Notamacropus eugenii: one gene and its partner. Each later gene encodes a partner of the first gene's protein in a complex. Links are inferred from orthologs where the notes say so. Each region holds a gene or a part of one and is shown on either strand. Other genes may lie near its edges.

Region 1 (3,747 bases):
AGTCATTATAATTTTATAGTTGTCTATATATAGGCCATGCATATTTCTAGGCAGAATGATTTTCAAATATTTGGTGCCATTTATTATTATGGTAGATGGGGTTCTTTGATCTCTATTGCTAGCAAATAAGACTGCAAATGATTTTAGTGAACTCATCTTGTTTTCTAAGACCTTCCTCAACTCATTTATTGTCACTATTAATTTTTGGTAGGAACATTTGGATTTTCTAAATAGCCTAAATAGCAAATAATATCTTGAACTCTTTGTTTTTAATGTTAATAATTTTAGTTTCTTTTTTTTGTCTTATTTGCAATTGCAAACTATAAATTAAAATAACTCTAAGGTATGTATCACTTCCCACTCATCAAATTGGGAAAAATATGGTAAAAGATGGAAAAAGCAAATGTTGGTAGAGCTATAGTGGAGCTACGAACTGATCCAACCATTCTAGAATATAATTTGGGAATATGCGACAAAATTTACTAAACCATTCATACCCTCTGAGCTAGAAATTCCACCACTGGGCTTATATCCACAGAGGTCAACGACAGAAATAACGTTCCCCATTTGCACCAAAATAGTCATAGTTGTTACAGCAAGAATTTGTAACAGAAAGAAATTAGAAACAAGCTACACCCCCAATGACTAGAAATGCCTCAACAGAACAGCGTATGAATGGAAGAAGAAGCGCATGGTACGGTGGGGAGAATGCAAAATTTGGAATCAGAAGACCCGAGTTTGGATCCTGGCGATGCCACTTTTTCACTGTGTGACTGTCAGTAAATAATGAACCTTTCTGGAAGCCACTTTCCTCATCTGTGAAATAAGATGATTGAAATGGATGACTTCTGTGGACCTTTTTAACTGCTGTTATGATTGTAATAAAATCCCATCTCACTATCACAAAGGATAAATATGAAGAACTCAAAGACAGGTGGAAAGACTTGTGTAATCTCATGTACAGAGAAAAAAGCAAGACCAAAGGAACAATATAGACCTGAATATACTGATTGAATGAAGTCCACCCTAAAAAGCAAAAGAATTCAGGTCAAATCCATGGACTTCTGTGGGGAGGGCAGAGCTGAAATACTCTTCCTTTCTGTTAAGAAATGATAAACTACAAGAGTGGAAAAATCACAATTTTTTTTTTGTCTATGACAATCATGATATTAAGATGGTTTAGCTTATTTGATGTTTTTTTACAGGGAAGTATTATGGGAGGTTATTTATTGGGAAATGATCAATATGTCAAAACAAACTGTCAATAGCAAATTCTGCTTTAGGAGTATAGGAGCCACCTACCCATACCACTGGCAGCCGAAGATTATCCCCTTGAAACTGGTTAAAATTGGGGAATGTGCTCCAGGCTAGATACTCTCCAGAATTAGAGCTTAACAAAGCCACAAACAGCACCTCATGTTGGTACCGAACAGTCGGCTGCTCCTCATAACTGCTGCGCTTCAACCAAAAACCTAGACAGAATATACAAGTCAGAAGCAAGGCATGGAGAATGAAGCTCTGTGCCCAGGCCGTGTTGAACACCAACAAGTCGATCTAGGGGCCAAAGAAGCTGAAAGGGAGATGAGAGCACACACAAGATGAGGGGAGATGTGACACACTAGGAGAATGAGGCCAAGGGGTGTACGCCAGGTTCTGGGGACACCATAATATTGCCTTGATGGCAAAGTACAGAGGGCAGTGTAGGTGAGGTTGGGAGGGCCACAATGTGTTGGCAGACGTCTGCCTCGGTCTGGGGTGGGGGCTTCTGGATGGCCGGGGTCTGGGTGGGGTTTGGGAGGCACACTGAAGGGGGGTGTCTGGATGACTTGGATCTGGGGAGTTTAAGGGACACAATGTGAGGGGGGCCATCTGGAAGGCCTGGGTCTAGGGGCTGGGGGGGCGGGGAACGACATGGGGGCGTCTGGACGGCCTGGGTCTAGGGGCTGGGGGCGCACGACATGGGGGCGTCTGGAAGGCCTGGGGGGGGGGAAGGGGCAGGGCCCCTTCGGGCTGGGCCGGGCTCACCGTGACTCCGGAAGGCCACGAGCAGCGGGGGGATGTAGGTGAGGCTGGAGGCCAGCAGCAGAAACAAGGCGGCCTTGGAGCACAGCCCTGCGCGGTAGATGATCTCCAGAGGGTGAGAGTACAGATCGTAGAGGGCCATGGCGAAGGCCGCGCTCCTCGCTGCAGGCCTGGGCTTAGGGAGCCCGGGGCGGAGGCCTGGGCTGCACGACTCACCAACGCTTACCAGATTTGGCTTCTCTCAGTGGCCATAGCCTAGGTCTCCACGGTAACCGTCCTACCTCGGTGCGTGAGCCAATAGCAAGGCCGCGGCTGGGGTAGAGTCGTTCTCAGCCAATCATGTAACGACGTGAGGGGGACGGGCTCCGCGCCGGCGAGAAAATGTTACTGTGGTCTACTTGTGCCAAAGATACCTTGTATCCCTGCTCCCTGCGGTGATCTATGCCAAGAGCGCTAAGAACATTTCTGAAACCTTGCGTGTAAACAGAATAATCTTTTATCTTTTCGGATAAACAGCATTGTAGGTATATTTTTGTCAGATCGCCCAAGGCAATATCTGTAGCCAGTCCAAAGGAAATGAAATTCCCGTGCATTTCCTACTTGGTCTTAGGAAGTATTTAGGGACCGAAATCAAATGGAACACTTCATACGTATGTGCCACTAGCTATCTTTAAAGCACTGGGTGCACAACTCTCTGAAGAGTCAATCAATAAACATTTATTAAGCGCCTAGTATGTGCCAGCACTGGTTGTGCTAAGCACTGGAGATGGAAAAAAATAAGGCGAAAGGCATCCTCTGGAGCTCACAGAATTAGGGGGAAAACATCATGAAAACGTGGTTTCAGCAAAATGTTTGTAGCAATACCATTTGTAACAGCACAAAGTTTGACGCCTAGAAATAAAATTGTCTGTTTGGATATCAACTCCTCAAGATTGTTTTCAGTATGAATTCGCAGTACAAAAGAGAATTATTCGAGATCTTTTTTACAACGAATTTACTCCAGAACAGATTGACCGTTTTATGTTTGCAAATATTGAATTTTCACAGTCCCTAAAGACTAAAATCTTGCCTGTGACCGAAAGGTCAATAAAAGAAAGGCACAAATATTTTCAAAGATGATTGGTGTATTAAAAGTGATGTAAGGGGATTCACTGAATATATACATAATTGGAAAAGAAGTAGCATGTGACAAGGGCAACAGATAGCATATGAATGACTCAAATGACATACTGTTGCCAAAGAAATGTAAAAAGACTTAAGAAAGGGCATTTTTCCTGATAGCAAACCTAAATTTAGTTATTTACAAATTCCACATATTGCTCTTGGTTTTGATCTCTAGGACCAAACCAAACTAGTGTAATCTCCGCTCCAGATAAAAATCCTTTAAGTATTTGAAGACAGCTATCATATTCCCCCATTCCCACCCCCAGTCTTCTACATCTCCAGGCTAAATGTGTCCAGTACTTTCAATAGCCCTCATATGTCATAGAGTCAAAAAAGATAAGCATCCTGTTTACTGTCTTCTGAACCACCTAAGTAGATAGGTGGTGCAAGTGATAGAGCCCTGAGCCTAGAGTTAGGATAGACTTGCCTAAAACACTTATTTAATAGCTATGTAACCTTGGACAAGTCACTTAACATGTTTGTCTTCTTTTCATTATCTGTAAAATAGGGATCATGATAGCACAGGAAAAAAATGAGATATATTAATAAAGTACTTTTCAG
Region 2 (3,747 bases), about 71 Mb from region 1:
CCCCTGGCCCTGCAAGTCAAATGTTACAAGCGTTCTTGGTTTCCTTTGTAATCGTACGTATTTTATTTTAAGCATTTTTTAAAAGGGGTTTCAGCAGAGTACTAAAGCGTTCATTACACCGAAACGTTTTAGAGTAGCGTTACAATTCACCCTATCTAGGCTGATACAGTATCATGATAGGCAATATTTCCAATACATAGAAAAATCTGACAGCGGCCTCCAAAGAGTGACAATAAAATTTTGGCCACGAGTAAGTCCTGTTCCACCTCAGCACGCGGAGCAAGCCTAACCCTTGCTGTTCCCACCGGAACACCGACAGCCTTGGGAGGACAGCCGGCCTGGGTTCTGATCCGGCGGGCTCCCTGAGCCTTCGGGGGGCGCACGCGGAAGCGGGCCCCCTCCTCGGGCCCGCAGGGGCAGCGGGTGTCAGCGCTGGGACGCGGCCGGGCTGTCCGCATGACCGCCACCCCCAGGGCCCGGAGCGGGCCGGGCGCACGTACGAGCCGGACTGCAGCCCTCCCGCCTCCCTCCCCAATGCCAGGACTCGGGTTCTAGCGCTGGGTTCACGCCGGTGTTACAGAGCCCCGCCCAGGGTGCCAGGCCTCTCCTGGAGGATCCCCGGGCTCTGGCTCGGCCCTGGGGGTATTTTCCAAGGCCTGACATCCGGGTCTTTCCGAGGCTGTGACGGGGTGCGGGGCCCCCGCCGGACTGAACAGGGGATATTTAGTGAGGGAGAGAAACTGGCTTCGGCCCGGGCCTCTTAGGGCCTGCATGTGGGGCAGGGGATCACGTCTCCGGACCTCAGTTTCCCTATCTGTAAAACAAAGACGTAGGTCTAGGCCGCCTCTCAGGTACAGCTAACGCTGGGCACACAGACCTCCTCCATTGGGCCTCCGCGGGAGGGTGGTCCCCAAGCGCGCAGGCGCCCGGGCCCAGCCTGTGGCCCCGCCCCGCCAGGGTTGCCATAGGAACCGCCGCCTGTTGGGGTGGGGGAAGGGAGGCCGGGCTCCAAGGGGAGCTGAGGCTTCGGTGGGTTTCGGGACCCGTGGAGAGAAGCCATGGAGCTGCCCTTTCCGGTCCGGCAGCGGCTGATGAACTTTAGCCGAACCGTGTTTACCGACACAAACCGAACCAATCCAGAATCCAGCCTCAACTTCTGTGAGTGGCAAGGGCCTTAGGAGAAGGGGCTGAGGGCGTGCGCGGGCAGAAGGGGGCGGGAAATGACGTTGGGGTCGTGCCCACACTGAACATGGCGGCTCGGTCTTCAGCGGGCTCTGACGGGGCGGGGGAGGAGGGGGTCCTTCCCTCCAGAACCCTTCCCCGATCTCCGATGACGGGGTTTGGGACTGACTGAGGCCCCCTTACTGGGACAGGAGTGAATCGATCTGGCAAGTCATCGATTAATTAATGGTGCCCGATGGCAGCTGTAACGCCTCTGGGCCTGAAGGGGGGAGGGCGAAGAGGGCTAAGTTCAAGTTCAAGTTCAAGCTGAGCGCCCGGCGCGCTCTGCTGTCTCGCTACCTCTTTTCTGAGACTAGAAATGACCAACTAGTTGCGTGAACACAAATCCCCAGAGGAAGCTCCCTAAATAATAAATATTTAATAAATATTAAATCATAGGTATGAGCCCCAAAAAAGAGAAAAGAAAGGAAAAAAATCGAACATCTCAAAAAGCTGTGCTTTTCTGAAAAAAAAAATGTGTTTCTGGTGGCTCTCCTTATTTTCACGCAAATCTTGGGGTGCCTGGTGTGGGGGAGGGGAGGAGCGCAGAGGTCAAGTTCCCAAGGGGGCCTCGAGCCCGGAGGTCCGGAGTCTTGAGGTCTCCTCTGGCCTCAGCTTCCTTCTTGGCAAAGGTGCTGCAGGGCTCTGCCATTTCCTTCTCCAGGTCATTTGACAGTGGGGAAACTGAGGCACACAGAGTTCAGTGCCTTGCCCAAGGTCACTGTTGCTGAGGCAGAATTCGAACTCATGACTCTCTCTGGGTGCCTGGCACCTCCCTTCCAACCCTGAAACTGGTGTTTTCAGCATCATCTCAGCTCTATTTAAGACCTTAGGATGCTTTATTTTAACTAGAAAGCAACACTTTGTACCGTTTTCTGCTTTCTGTTCCTGAAGAAATCAATATTTGATTTTTTTAACTCTATACTCAATTTTTATCATTAGAGATTTTTAGCCCCATGTATATCCATCCTAGCAACTACCATGCAGGTCCTAGAAAGGATTAGACAGGCTGGTTGATTTATCTCTCAATAGGTTTAACATCTTAAGGCAATTAATGTCATTAATATATGAATTTTTTTCAAGGACTGAAGTTTGAAAAATATTTTTATTGTTAAGAATAGAAATGTAGTTGCTTATTTTAATATGTTGTTGACAATTATTTAAAAAGTTCCCCTGTGGAAATCCACTGTGGTGTAGAGGACATGGAGCCAGACTTAGAATCAGGAAGACCTGGGTCCAAGTCCTACCTTTGACAAATACTTGCTTTGTGACCTGAGGAAAGTCACCATCCTAAACCAGGGGTGGGGAACCTGCAGCCTTGAGGCCACGTGTGGCTCTCTAGGTCCTCAAGTGTGACCCTTTGACTGAATCTACACGTCATAGAAGAAATCCACTTAATAAAAGAATTTGTTCTGTAAAAAACTTGGACTCCGTCAAAGGCCACACCGAAGGCCACACCTGGAAGACCACGAGTGGCCTTGAGACTTCAGGTTCCCCAACCTTGTCCTAAACTCTCAGTGCCCCAGGAAACTCTGTAAACATTACCCTGAAGTTCAGGTGCTGACCTAGCATTGGAAGAGGAAATTTCCTCACAGGGGGTTCCTTATACCACTAGAATGATGAATAAAATCTTCTGTCCTGCAAACCCCACCCTCAAATCCATAGAGATATAGTAGAGGGGTAATATTTTATTTAAAAATTTTTAAACCTTTGGAATGTTAAACAACTAAAGAATATGGATTATTTCAAAATATATACTTTTTGCATATGAAATTTGGCCTCATTATTTTGGAACTTGGCTAACTTTGTACTTGAATTCATAGGATCTGTGTTGCCTCCTTTAGGACTTTCTGTTTACACAAATGAAAAACATACTGCATCATAATCTCTAGTGACTAGTAATTTCTTGGCAGAGCAAACTTATGATTGGTATGGTCCTTACAACACTATGGCAGTCATGGCAATTGTGTTATGGAGATATTGAATCCAATGATGTGTACATTTCTCCTCCCCAAAAGCTGCAATAAAATTAATCATAATTATCTGTTATACTTTGAGGCCACATATTGCCTGCATGAACAGGGAAAGACCCAACAGACAGTAATTACAAAGTGATGATATACTATACTATTATTCGCTTCCTAATCACCAAAAATAGCCAGTCTCTAGAATTGAACCCAGTGTTTTTTATATAGCTGACGCTTAATATATATTTATTTAATTAATATTAAGGCCACTATTCCTTCTTCTGGTAGTGGTTCTAAATTAGCACAAAATTTGAATTAAAAAATATCATAGCTCCAGTTCTTCTAATAATGTGGATTTTGAGGAGCAGAAAGGACATCTCTGAAATAGTATGGTTAAGGGTTGGGTTTTTTGTTTGTTTTTTGCTCCTTTTTCCTTCCTTTCTCCTGCAGATAATGAAATAGTCTCCAGTTTGGCATTACAGATGTCTCTTTATTTCAACATTTACTTCTTTCCATTTTGGTGGGTGTGTAGTATCATCATGCTCCATCTGAAGGTGAG

Evidence for each region. Proteins that work in one complex are often made in the same cells at the same time.
Region 2: TMEM231 (region 1) and TMEM17 share a complex: the UniProt entries of both Homo sapiens proteins name them as parts of the tectonic-like complex. The link is inferred for Notamacropus eugenii from reciprocal best matches to the Homo sapiens genes TMEM231 and TMEM17.

The regions. Positions count from the first base shown.
Region 1 is NC_092872.1:712,651,527-712,655,273, reverse strand, and holds the start of TMEM231 (transmembrane protein 231), read right to left. Parts: upstream 2,331-3,747; 5' UTR 2,165-2,330; coding exon 2,026-2,164; intron 1,473-2,025; coding exon 1,303-1,472; intron 1-1,302. UniProt on the Homo sapiens protein: Transmembrane component of the tectonic-like complex, a complex localized at the transition zone of primary cilia and acting as a barrier that prevents diffusion of transmembrane proteins between the cilia and plasma membranes.
Region 2 is NC_092872.1:642,117,829-642,121,575, forward strand, and holds the start of TMEM17 (transmembrane protein 17), read left to right. Parts: upstream 1-957; 5' UTR 958-1,058; coding exon 1,059-1,158; intron 1,159-3,638; coding exon 3,639-3,742; intron 3,743-3,747. UniProt on the Homo sapiens protein: Transmembrane component of the tectonic-like complex, a complex localized at the transition zone of primary cilia and acting as a barrier that prevents diffusion of transmembrane proteins between the cilia and plasma membranes.